2 linked regions of the Drosophila melanogaster genome follow. The protein of the gene in region 1 interacts with the protein of each later gene in a pairwise test. Each region holds a gene or a part of one and is shown on either strand. Other genes may lie near its edges.

Region 1 (6,612 bases):
TTAGGCCGTGTGTGCATCTCGCCCAAGGATGTGTCGTCATGAAATTCGTCGTGGAATTTCAAATTAACTGCAGTGAGCGCGGTGGGATGAGTCGTGTATACCCTGTAAAAGTTATATTGTGTGTATATATGTCAATCCAGCACTTTCCATTTCGGTGTTTGGCGTTGTTTGGCCATCACGTCCATTGGGTTCAATAGCACAAAACAAAAATAGAATAATAGACCGGGCCAAGCGTTATTTGTACGCCTTCTGGCTACTACGTCCGCCTTCTTCGTTCACAGTGCAATCCTTTAGAGTCCTGCCTGCACCGCTATAAATAAGTTCCTCATTCGTATGCAAACAAGTGCAGCGGCAGGACGAAAAGGGCGAGCCTTCGCCTTTCGACGGGCGTGACTTGCGGCATAATGGGCGAGTTTCGAAATGCAGTTGCAGTTCTGGATTTTGTTGAAGGTTGCCTTTTGGGTATGATAACTATCTCACAATCAATGTGAGTATATTCTCTGCAGCTTTATAATAAATTGTGCAGCCATTAAGTAGCTAAAGTTTTAGCGGTTTCTCATTGCAAGTCCTTTTAATTAAACGTATTATTTTCATATAACATTTATTGATTTCCACTTCGTTGGTTAAATGAAAAGCGATATATATTTATCTCGTTTAAATATGAAAATACATTTTCCAACTGACTGAACTTAATTGAATATTCAGTTGATTTAATGTGTAATCTGATTTTAGTAGGTTTTCTATTTATAAATATTTTCAGTTGTGCAAATGTCATTAAATCAGTTTTTTTCGGCTATTATTTGGGGTATATTTTAGGGTATATGAGGATCGGCTTTTCTGCTCCATTCCTTACACTTTCTCAGGGATAACTCTTGCCAGTTTTTTGGCTCTGTTGTGGCAACTTTTGTTGTGGCTGCTTTTTGGGGACTTTTTCTTCGGAACTTGCGACCTACAACCTACGACCTGCAGTGTTCACTTCGCTTGGCCAATTACGGTTTTAAGTCCTGCTGGCTCCTCGTCGTCCTGTCTTTTTCTCCGACTTGAACTTTTGCTTTCGTTTTGCCCATACTTTTGTGTTTTTCCCCTGCCACAGATTGCCCCGTCTTCTCCTTGGCAGGCGTCGCATTGCAGTGGCCTGTTGGCCAGGTCGAATGCACCTGCTCCTGCACCTGTTTGTTGCCCTTTTGCGGCTGAATGTTTAGTGTCTCGGGGGCCATTTATAGTTACGCTCGACTTCATCGCGCGGCGACTTCATTTGCCACGTGAGCGATGTACCTTATTGATTTCCGAGACTTAATTTGCTTGCCATTTTAAACTACAGCTATTACTCATACGCCACGTTCGCCATGACCGTCTTAAACTTTTGTAGCATACTTGTAGGCTGAATAAGTAATAAGTAATATTTAAAATATTTAAGAATTCATCTCTCTTTTGTGTATATGCAGTCATCTGTTTCCTATCCACGTCCATTGGCACCATGTTAAATGACTAAGTTCATTCCCGTGCTATTGCTGAAAACGATTTAAACATATATAACCATAATCATGAAAATCGGGGGAATGACCTCCCTGTGGGAATTAAGAATGGTGAAGGTCGCGGTGGGTGTGTTTTGCTAATGATGTTTACGATTATAGAAAGTCATCTCTTAGATAATGCCCCACACACAATCGATGCCAAAGAAAGTTGTGCACAACCCACACCCACAGGGATTCGATTCTGATTTTCATTCGATTTTGCCATAAAGTCAAGCAAATTAGTAAATTGCTTTGTTTTGGTCTAATGTATTGTTGTTCCGCCAGCTGCGGCACTTCAATTGGTTTTCAATCGGGAATTTTCTCTAGACTTGACACTCTAGACACTGATAATACAAAAAATAAGTATAAATATATAAATATTTAAATATTAAAATTTAACTATTAAATTTTGTTCGTACGGATTTTAAAGATGTTAAATACTTATTTAGCATATGTGACTATATTTATAACAAATAAGAAATTGGGTAATATAATTTATAAGAACAACGATAATAAATACTTTTTACTTACTTATTATAATATTAATAATAATATTATTTCGAACTTGACACAACGTATCTATTTGTGTGCCTTCGACTGTCTTACGATGTGCTGCATTACAAACCTATTGAACTAGTCCGATGGCAAATGACTTAATGTACAAATACATGCTTAAATGCCATCTAAATTGCGAAACTGCGAAGCTTGTTATAATTATTATAAAACACACACAAAATCTAATGCCAGAATAGCAATAACAACACCGACGGCTGGAACAACAAATTACAGCGACATATGGGGTGGGCCAATCCCAATCCGATGATTGTGTTACGTTACGGGCACGGGCTTTATAAAGAGGGGCAGGCAGGTCAGGCCCATAAATGTTCCGTAGATGTCGCATCCATCGACTAATCGTCAAAAAAATCGTCAAAATTTTTTTTACAAATTGCCCTTTTGTCATGACAAACTCAATCCCCCTTTTATGTTGCTGTATCTATAGATTGTGTATCTGTAATCCGCGTATCTCTGTTAATTTCTATCGTGTACAAAATTTAAAGCCGAATTTGGTCAAAAAGTGAAAAGAATCACATCCGTCAAAGAAATGTGTTGGTTTTTATTTGGGCTTGCTTTGATTTTGTTTTTTAATTTGCAAACGGAAGCAAAGAGTAATTAATTTCAAAATACGAATTCTGCCAACATTTTTTGGAATGTTTCCACCGTTTTTAATGCGTTGCCGATATGGGAGAATGATTTGGTAAATGAAAGAGAAAAACATAAACAAATAAGGACACGCAAACATCTGCATCATTGGAAAGCAAAATATGTATTTGTTGGATAAAAAACGAAAAATTTTCAGCATATAAAGATTTTTATTTCAAATCTACTGAATAATTAGCAGGTTAGCAGTACCTTTGGAGAACCGCTGAAAATTTATAGCCTCTACGGAAACTAGTCTGCAAATCAACCCACCCAGCATATGATCTCGAAGCGCCTCAAGGAAATAACATGCAAAGGCATTTTTTCGACCCACAGCCCCATTTCCTTATATACAAGCGTCAATGCAAAGATAAACAATCGAAAACATCGCCCAGTTTTAACGCCACTGTAACTGCAACTGGTGCACTGCGGTAAAAAAATCGATGAATTATATTTAGAGCATTTATTAAAAATTTTATAACTTAAATTTCATAATCACACAACGTTTCAGATGTAAAAACTATATTTAAGATGCAGCAGCTTGCCGTATTTTTTGAATTCCTAACTGGGATGCCGCTTTTTTTTTTGAACAGTGTGCCTACTACGTCACAACTGTCATTGGCTATTGACTAGAATCTGTGTTGAGCCGAGCTGATCCCACGGGGCGAAGCTTATGGCTATATAAGCGTCGACTACTATCGTTTCCAAGTTTAATTTGCTCAGAGCAGAAAACGCGAGTGGACGTCTATCAGAAAGCGCGATAAGTGGAAAGTAAATACAAACTAGCGTTGCTGTTGGTCCTGTCCTAAGGAATAATAACTACCACAAAATGGCTCTTGTCCCGGCTACAAACAATACGGATTGGGATTACTGGGATTACCGTCGTCGGCTGTGGCGCGATTGGGATTTGAACGACTGGGACTTGCCCTACTGGAAGCGATCACTATCTCGCGTTGGATCCGCACCCGATCTAAGTCGGGTAATTGTCGGAAAGGATGGTTTCGAGGCCAATGTGGATGTGCACCTGTTCAAGCCCTATGAGATTAGCGTGAAGACCTCAGGCGACACTGTGGTCGTGGAGGCCAAGCACGAGAAGCGACGTGATGGTGACACCTTCGTGGGTCGCCACATCGTCAAGCGGTTCGTCCTGCCCCGAGGATACTATCCCAACGATGTGCGATCGGAACTGTCGTCCGATGGCATACTTACCGTCAAGTGTCCGCCGTATTTGACCAACGAGCGGAGTGTGTACGTCCGCCAAGTGGGTCCTTCGTATCTAAGCATCAAGAACTAATCACAGTCTATAGCATCGTAACTCCGTGTTTTGTTCTTAGTTACTTTCTGTTGGAGCTAAAATTAAGACAAAAGTAATGCACATATTTCTAAGACTAGAATTGGACTCTTTTTGTTATTAACAAAGCAACGTTTGTTTAGTTAAATAAAATAAAAGTTTAATTTATTAATAATGAATTCAGACTATCTTATTTGGCAGTGGTTTCATTCCTTTTCTTTTCCCAACCGCCAGCGGATGTGTTCAACTTGACTCGAAGCTTTAAAACAATGGCCAAGAAGATGTCAACATAAATTGACTCAAGTCGTACAAAGAGAGAAAAAGCCATCGTCTGACCAAACAAACAAGTATCCGCTCGAATATAGTCAGTATCTTCCGAGCATTCTTACCCAGAGTATCTTTCATATGGGTAAACACTACGCCCTCGAGCGATTTCCGTAATTTGCCAACTAAGGTTAACTTCAAATGTAAATGGGCCAATAAACAACAACAGCTTTGAGCCAAAACCTACACGTAGAAGTTACACATGTGCTCCACCTGGAAATAGCCAGAAAATAGAGCTGGGAAAATTAATCTAGTTTAAATTGACCATAGAAAGTAACGAGAATCACGCGCACACAATATTTCTACAAAAGCATGGGATATTATATATAGTTATGTATATTTTAAAGAATTATCTTCTAAATATAAATATTCTTGATCTAGAAGACATGAATAGCAGCAGTTCCCCAAAAACATGTGTTTAAAAAAAGAAAAGAAGGCACGGTTTTTAAGCATATGCTATCATTATACAACAAAAATTGATTGACTACAGAAAAACTTGCCTCTGACATATTGCTTTTCCTTATCATAAGGCTACGGGTGAGAGATACCCTCTAATTACATTTGAACAGGAAATCAAATACATATATGAACATTCGGTCTAAAATCCAAATCTAAAGAGAACATTTTGGAACGGTACGAAATGTTTACCTACATTTAATGTATTTGTTTGGGTCTTTATCTAATGAACAGTCAAACCAAAAGATAGTCTTATCAAAGCTCTGAGTAACCGATTTTTGCCAAAAATATATGTAATAACAAGTAAAAACTGCATACCACTAACACTTGAAAAAAAACATTTAAAAATTTGTTTTATTTCTGAGCAAACACCACCACGAGAAAACATTTTTAAATGAGCGAACAAAGTCACGCCAATCTGCGACCCAATAAAATTTTCAATTAGGTGTAAGCTCTAAATGTTTTCAGTTCTTTTGAGCAAAATCGATTTGGCACTTAAAATGCAATTCATCAATGAAAAATTCGGACAAAGGAAAAATTGGGTTTCCTATCCAAGTAGTGGGGATCGGGTGGCATATATATATATGTATATATATATATATATAAAATATATATAGAGAATAACATGTTTGCTCGGCCAACCAAATAAGTCTAAGAGTAACACACCTACGCTAGATTTCTATTGTATTTAATTTCGTTTAATTAAAATCCATTTACAGTATGGCGAGCAGTTGCAGCGGCGCATTTGATTTCGATTGCGAGTTTAATTGATGTAATGTCAGCTTATATAGTTGAATAACATAATTTAACACTTAGGTTTAATAATCTTCTGAAAATGCTTATACCCTACTGATAATGGGTACCGAAATAGTATTTTTGCCTTGCCGGCCAAATACCTGATAATTCAGTTTGTCGTCAGTTTTCCTTTGGAGCGATTCGTTGTTTGCCGATACGTTAATAAATGAATATTAAAAAAAAGGGTTACGGCATTAAAAAAAAACCTATATATTTTGTAAATAATTATCTTAACAGTGTTTACATCAAACATACATTAAAAGTGTTGAACATGGTAACGGAAAAAAAGTAAAAATACATGTTCATAGATGGCAACTAAAATTAAATACAATTACTAACATCTGTTACTCACAATATTCTAAATATTGTAAATATTATTGCGTTTATTTTTTAATTAATTAAGTGTGTACTTTTAGGCAGACATTTTAATGCAAGTTGGTGACAAGCGCCTCAATGGGAGACACTTGATTAAACAAAACGTTTACTTTCGGCTGATGTTTTCTTAAGTAATCCAATCATGAACATGTTTATATAATTATTGAAATGGTGCAAAACAGAATGTCGACATCAGTGATTGTTTTGTACGCGCTTATGTGTATCGCATTTTCCACAGGTATGTTGTGAATCCATTATAACATAACCATAAGTAAGAAAAATTTCTATTATATACAATTATTTATTTATTTATTTGAATTACATTGATTTTTAATGCATTAATTTTACAGCTTCGTTAAATGATATTCCCGAAATCACCCCCGCAATAGATAACAATTTATCTTTTCAATACGACGATACCTGCTGGACTCCTCCGAGGATTAAAAATGCTAAGGCATCCGTCAAACTTCGCCGAAATGGGGAACATGTCTTTCTTGTGACCTATTATTCCTGCCGCGTCAACTACAAACTCAAACGTGCCAAAGATAATGCACTCTATTGCTCAAATGGTATATGGCTTGGTTTGAAACCCAATTGCATAAAGATTGGTAAAGGAAACACGCATTCAATGAAGCAAAAAAAAATGGTAATGATTTTTTG
Region 2 (7,474 bases), on another chromosome or scaffold:
TGGATAAGGATTGGCAGGCGCAGATCGAGCGTGACTTGCAGGAGGCCCAGGCGACCGCACTGCCCGACGAGGACGAGGAGCTATAAGCCTATTTGTAGTTAACTTAGAGCGAAATCCGACTTGCGCGAAAACACAAACACACACACACTCAAACACAAAACCACAACACACAACACCACACCGAACATAGAACACTGAATCACAGGCACCGTATGAAAAGGCGTGGCAAGAGGGAATGAAGGATTACGGATTAGAGGAAGTAGCATTAGCAGTAGTGTACTATCCGTACACTATTGGATTTGCCAGCCTATGTTCTTCGATCGATCGTTGGGAAAATCTACAAACAAGCCCTTCTTAATACGTCGATTGTATTTAAATTTTAGATCCCCAATTCATTAATAAGTCGGTTATAATTGATTTTTTTTTTGTTTGTTTCCTTATACGTTGGCTCTTGGAAAAAAAGGAGTAAGTAAGTAGTATTGTCATTAAAGTGCTAAAGCAGCAGGCAACAGCAACTTAATCGAAAACCAAGAGAAATAAATAGTCGCAGAACGTATTTTTTTAAAACTTGCAACACCAATGTTCTTTTCCACCCAAAAAAAAAAAGGAAGAAAAAACCAAGTTACTTCAACAAAAGTGTGAATGTTAGAAACGAGCGAGACGGCATGCTCGGAGCGAGCGAGAGCGCAATAGCTGGCCAATGAACTGAGTCCCCCCAAAGGAAAATTAATACTATTGAAAAAAGAAAAGAAAGGAAAACACTGGAAACTATGAGAAAATAACCTATAGACAGGCCGCCGAATTCGCATCCACATGTTATTAATCTAAGAACTAAAGAAATAAAAAATAAACGTCGAAGAAAAAAAAACTAAACGAACGGAGCTGGATTTGCATTTGAAAGATGATAAGGAAATGATGCTAGATTATAGTTATCGCATACCCTGTAATTGAATGGGTAGCACATATATTCCGTTAGCTAATCGTCTACTGTTTACATTTCTACATTTGAATACACTGTTCTTAATGAAACTCCTCGGATTTAGGGACACTTGAGGCAGCAGGCAGGGAAAACTCCGGTGAAGCGATCCTTGTTGCCGCAGGTGACCTTCTGCTGTCCACAGCTGAAAAAAAGATATTGTAGATGGCTTGGTTAGAATCATGTGGAGATCGGGGCAAAGTTCAGCTAGGAAATATTTTGTTTTCTTCATGCAACCTAAGTTGCTAATTAAGATCGCTGTCATGATGCACTTACTCCTCCACGATGGTCTTGAAGGTGTCCGTGCAGATGGCCCGCTTGAGGCACTTGCCATCCTTGCCGAAGTCCACGTAGTCCTGTCCGCGTCTCAGCAGCGGCAGATACTTGAGAAAGATGGTCTCATCCTCCGAGTTGCGGTAGGAGCACACGGGTTCGCTGGCTACGTACAAGATACATATGATTACATATGACATATGGAACAGTAGTAGGAGATCCCATGGCCAGCTTACCCGCATCGACGGTAGGCAGCAGTGCCTGCGGAAGCAGGAGCGCCAGCAGCAGCAGGACGGCCGCCAGCAGCCAAATGGATCCGCAACGGTTGTGCATCTTTGGAGCGCGGTGACGAGACTGAACCGAGAGCTGGCCCAGCCCGTTGCCTATTTATAGGTTGCCCAAAAGAGCCACTTGGAGCGCGGCTCGTTTGCGAATCAGCCAGTCAGTAGTCAGTGGTGATTTGCATTTTCAGCTGCTTGATTGAGTGGGATTCCGCGAGCACTTGCTAATTGCTTAATTGCCAGGGAGGCGGACTGATCAGATGCGTAGTTTCCACAGAGAGTGTGCTCTTCCAGATCGTACAAAGGTGTCCAAATGGATCATCGTCTCAAAGGGAACAAAATTAAATTAAAAATTAATCATTGCCGTTTACTAACATTCCGTTTTGAATTTTGAGCACAAATCCCAAAAATATCCGCATAAAATGCAAGAACATACAAAAGTTTAGTTTAAAGCAAGATCATTAAATTTATTATAAATTATTTCTATTTTATATTTATTATATTGACTTTACTTTTCCACAGTGTTTTTGTGCGTTTCTAGGCTGATTTTAAAGCAACAAATTTTGTGGAGAACCTACTTGAATTACAATGAACTTATCATTTGGCTGAAAATATATACAATGAATTTCATTCTTTGGGTTTTTGTTAGAATAGATACATATATATTTCCGGCAAGAATATCAAAAACATAGAACAATAAACCTATCAACATAAATACGCAATGAACTTACAAGTAATATTTAACAAACATTGTGCCAAAATAAAAATGTACAATACTAGGAAGTATGTTTTTCTATAATAATACTTAGCAGCCAGGAGTCTAAGCTAGATGTAGTTGCTCTCGGACTCCTGGCACACCAGCTTGGGACAGCATTCCGGAAAGGTGCGTCGCATATCCGAGGCGATCCTGCACTTCTCCGTGGGCACCAAATTATGGCGACCGCAACTGAAGTAAACGTAAGTAAATATGCATTAAAAATATATATTCATAATAAGTGTTTTTAACTTACTAGCTAATTTCGAGGACATAGTCTGGTCTGCAGTAGATGGACTGGCAGTAGCCCTCGCGATTGATGGGCTTGTAGGACTGTTTCTTGGGTATGGCCTGGTTGAGCTCCTCGTAGTAGCACTGGCCAGGATAGTCTGGAAACATAAAGCACATAAACGATCATTATCTGGTTGGAACTATAGTACTATATCCCTTTGATTGATATGATATTACTACAGTATCTAAGAGACATTATAGATACTATAGTATCTGGTAGTCATTATAGATACTATAGCATCTGTATATCTGGAATCTATAATATATTCCTTTGATTCATATGAATTTGTTCATATGATATCATTTTCTAGTATCTAGTTTTCACTACAGTATCTAACTACTATCTAGATAGTATAGTATGAATACAGTATCCATTTCTTAATGACCTGGATGCACTGCATTTCCGCGGTAGGTAAGATCCGCCCGAGCGGCTCCACAGATGCCCAGGAGCACCAGGAGACAGGCGACTCCGGCTCGCATAGTCGCCGAATGAGCGGAGGAGCTGGAGGAGGAGGAGGAGGTGATGGTGGTTTTTTTCTTTCGGGGGGATAAGCTAAGAGGCAACACCACGATTGCTCGAAATCCAAATCCGACTTGGCTGTTGAGCGCTGCCCGTGCGACTGAGTCAATTACAATTAATTGTTGTTGCTTTTATATAAAATTAATAATGAACCATGTGCCGTACTACCACGAGTATGTGGCACACATGTGTGTGTGTGCACAACCAGATAGCGATAGCATCTGTGGCTTTTGTTTGCCGACCGACTTAAGGCGTTCGCTTTGCGCCGCCCGCCAGCTCTAGTTTAAATTAAGAATTTAAATTAATTAAGCCAGCCCTGAAAGCGAGAGTGAGTTCTGGCGGGGATCGGCCAGCAGCGGAGGAGTGAAGTTGGCAGGCGGAATCCCCGACAGCCAAGTGACACGGTTCGAGAAACTGTGGCAAGGTTGAGCGGTAATCACGGCACGCAAATAACTCTTTTGTGCCACCGAATTTTGGGCCAGCTACACTTGGAGAAAGCGGACTGTCAATTATATTCTATAGAATAAAACAAAGTAGTTATATACTTAAAATGCCTGCTTAATCCTCAATCCTATGTCAAATCTTCAATTCAGATGTATAGAGATATGTATGTACTATGTACCCCATTCATTTATCGCAGTGTACGCTGAGCACACAACACTTGATTCCCGCGTACGTAATATGTACCTAGATACATTTATGCAAATTTAATGGCACTCACGAGTGCAAGTGCATTGTGATTTCGTCTGGACTGTATTTGCATTAGTTAATTCCGCCGTGATTCGATTGGGATTGAATGGAATGGAGTCAAGTCCACGATTCCCACCAGAACTCGTAAGTTAAGATCTTCTAAGCATAGATCTTCTATAACAAATCGCAAATTAACCATCTACTTAAGGTAGATACAGGATAGATAGTTAGTTACAGTATATATAGATAGATAGATAGATACATTGTAGATGGATAGATACAGTATAGATATATGATAGATATATGATAGATATATAGTTACAGTATAGATAGATAGATTGATAGATATAGTATTGATAGATAGATATATACAGTATGAAGTGATAGATAGATACAATACAGATAGACTAACTAATTATGATAGATACATTACTTGGTATGCAAATTGGTAAGATTGTCGTATTACTTCTTAATTACATATAAGCTATAGGTATAGTTATTAACTTTTGCTAAAAAGTTGACTACATTTTGGGTTCCTCTTCTATTAATCCTACTAGAATTTCCTGAAATGGTTTACCCAACTAATAATTAGTTACCCAGCTCCCAAATGGCTTAACCAATATTTGTTGATTGAAAAACTGAATTACTTTTGCAACTATCCCATGAGTGGAATGGCGAATACCTGATAGCATTTGCTTGGTGCATACTTTCCTGGTCTAGGCCAACATCCTCGAGTGTCAGCAAGTGCGATAACGTGGTGCGCCACTTCCTCCACTTCCAGATGACGAGAGCAAGGCAAACGCAGCCGAAATCGGAATCACGAGAGCGTTGATAGCCAGCTGATAAGATGGATGGCCCGCCGCCTATAAGAGATGAGTTCCGGTGACGACCCAATGCTATTCCACAACGAGAGCAACCATGTCCGGAGCAGCTTGGATGTCCCTAGCTTTTGTGGCCTGTCTGCTGGCCGCATCGGTGGACGGCAATGGGTTCAGCACCCAGTATCGTGGTCACACGCAGCACCCTAGCCTGGCGGAGCACTGCCTCTACGAGGAGTTGGACCTGGCCGTTCCACTCAATGGCTACGTTCTGCCCTCCGGTCAGCAGGGCTACTGCATTCGCTTGGAGTGCACCGATGACTATCTGCTGTTGATACGCCAGTAAGTTTCGAGATTTGATCGCATGCCCTCACTATATCCCATTTCGCCCAATCCCTTCCAGCTGCGACAAACAGCCATGGCCGCGACCTGGCTGCCACCTCTCACCCAACGACTATGATTTCAAGTTCCCCGAGTGCTGTCCCCAACTCGAGTGCTCCGACGAATACTAGATACAAGATACTAGATCCAAAAGCATCGATCTGTTCGGAATTACTATTTCTATTTAAACTATAATCCATTGATCTTGTGGCAAAGTTAGCCAAAGTACTAGTAACAAGTATAATCTTTAGTTAAATAAAAACATATATAGTTTAAGAAACTAATGATGTTATCACTGGAACTGCAGCTGTTTCGCCAGCCTCCGGAACGAATCTGTATGTAACGAGAATTTTCCACCTATTTGATAAACCCGAGGACCCCTGAGACGCAATCGCACGGGAGCACAGGGATCTTGACCTTTCAGTCTAATCGCTGGCGCACCCCGAAACAAGTGGAACTATATAGTCGCCCAGCCGAGCGATCCGTTGATCAGTTAGCTACATAATATGAAATCGGTCACGTTCGTACTCTGCCTGCTCGTTCTGGGCGCCCACTCGCTGCTGGTGTTCGCCGGTAAGTGGATGCAGTGCATCGTCGCCACAAACCATTCAATCCCGCATGTTCATCTTGTTCATTCGTAGTGGATTGCGAGATCGGTGGGCATCAGTTCAAGACCGGAGAGAAGTACACGCCGGAAGGTCGCTGCCTGCAGTACACCTGCCAGGCACCCAAACAGGTGACTGCCTTGGGGTGAGTAGCTTCTACATGGATTGATGACTCCTTGACTCACCCACCTTGCCACTTGTGGCCATCCAGATGCCCGGCCATCGCCTCCTTGAAGCCCTGCAAAATGGAAGAGGATCTGAGCAAACCCTATCCCGGCTGCTGTCCCAAGTTCAACTGCTGACAACGCCTCCCTCGCAAGTCGAACTGCAAATGTGAAATGAACTATGAAAACTGAATATATAACTATAGAAACATACATACCTTAAATGAGAGATGCAGTTGGATGGATGGTTATGAGGGGTTCATACATAATTAGAATCAAGTTTGCCAGTTCTGCGTTTACAAAAACCAAAATAGCGCATTTATTTCGATTTCGATTTCGGTTTCGGTTTGGTATACATGCTTGAACTTAGTCGTATTTGCTCTCATACATATAGTAAATAATGTGTATACATATATAAATATTCTCGTGTCAATTGCCACTAATTCACCATTCACTTGGACATGCACACTGTTCGCTTGCATAACAAGTATATATGTATACATATATCTCTGCTTAACTACATCTACATATCTGCATTTGTATAGTTCTCTAAAATAACGAGGAGCAGCTTTATCCGGCAGTGACAAACTCGCACAAATCCTGTCCAGATACATCCGTATCTGCATCTGCATTTGTATCTGCAAATCCTCGACGGCGGTTGCCATTAGATACTCGTAATTGATTGCATTCACTAACGCAGACACAGGAGCAACTGGGTCTTGCATTAACGGATACAAATTAATGGGTATACGGTAGAGATACACAAGTCCAATAACTTGGGCTGCAGCTATACTTGTAGCATTGTCGATTTAACCGATTGTAACCTGAGCTAGTCTAAACATTCTTTAACTATGGTCCGGCGGCCCGAGGGCCATTAAGTTGATGTGGGCTTACAAGTTAGTACAAATTGCTACACTTTAATGCTTAATTGGGACAAAATGGATCTTTGCGTTTGCTATATGTCCGTGTTTTTTTTTGTTTTTTTTGTTTGGGGGTAATTAACCTAGATGAGGCCGATCCTCGCCTCCTGGTCCATTTCACTCCGGGGTCGCCAGCTGCGGCGCCAGCGACTCCTCCTCTCATTGGCGCGCCGCACGCTCCGTTTCCATGAGGCATTCGCGCACCAGGATGCGGGCATGGACAATGCCCCGCTTGAGACGCTCCGTGGAGCTGCGCGAGCCCGTGTACGTGGGCCGGATATCGCGGCCCATCTCCTCAATGACGGCCAGCAGCTGGGCGTACTTGGTCAGCCCATTGCCCGGGCCCACTGAGGGCAGGCTGGCCGTGGAGGTCAGCGGCGTGGTGATATTGGCCGAAGTTTGGGTGGTCACCACCACGGGCGAGGTGGAGGGTGGCGGGTACTTTAGCTGCGATGAGCTCAGATTCAGGCCCATGCTCTGGCCATTGCTGCCAGAGGAGGTGGAGGAAACGCCGGCACCGGAATTCCGCTGACCACCATTGCTGGAGCACATGTTGGCCAGCGAGAGGGCCGCAGCGGCGACGGCTGCCGGCGTGGCCGTCGTGTTCGACTGCTGCTGGAGTAGCGCCAGCTGGGCCTGGAGGAACTGCGGGGAGTATTGGAGGGCAGCGACGGCGGCGGCAGCTGCTGCTGCATTGGCCGCTGCAGCGGAGCTCTGCTTGCTGGACGAGCTGCTGTAGTCGCTGGCGGAGGAGCGGTCCCGCTCCCGCTTGCCACCGCTGCTCGTGGAGTAGTCGGTGGC

Evidence for each region.
Region 2: the proteins of CG7409 (region 1) and CG15199 interact in a two-hybrid assay, tested with the Drosophila melanogaster proteins (one large-scale study listed by BioGRID).

The regions. Positions count from the first base shown.
Region 1 is NT_037436.4:7,750,990-7,757,601, forward strand, and holds CG7409 (uncharacterized protein), read left to right. Parts: upstream 1-3,419; 5' UTR 3,420-3,540; coding exon 3,541-4,005; 3' UTR 4,006-4,179; downstream 4,180-6,612. Other genes in the region: CG32373 (uncharacterized protein), read left to right, coding at 6,121-6,190, 6,303-6,598.
Region 2 is NC_004354.4:11,138,261-11,145,734, reverse strand, and holds CG15199 (uncharacterized protein), read left to right. Parts: upstream 1-3,899; 5' UTR 3,900-3,929; intron 3,930-4,496; exon of another isoform or gene 4,497-4,566; 5' UTR 4,567-4,703; coding exon 4,704-4,945; exon of another isoform or gene 4,946-5,006; coding exon 5,007-5,115; 3' UTR 5,116-5,261; downstream 5,262-7,474. Other genes in the region: Ran, read left to right, coding at 1-86; CG15201 (uncharacterized protein), read right to left, coding at 1,040-1,121, 1,253-1,415, 1,486-1,582; CG15202 (uncharacterized protein), read right to left, coding at 2,356-2,476, 2,541-2,673, 2,962-3,055; ssp7 (short spindle 7), read left to right, coding at 5,491-5,557, 5,626-5,734, 5,801-5,891; CDK2AP1 (CDK2-associated protein 1), read right to left, coding at 6,833-7,474.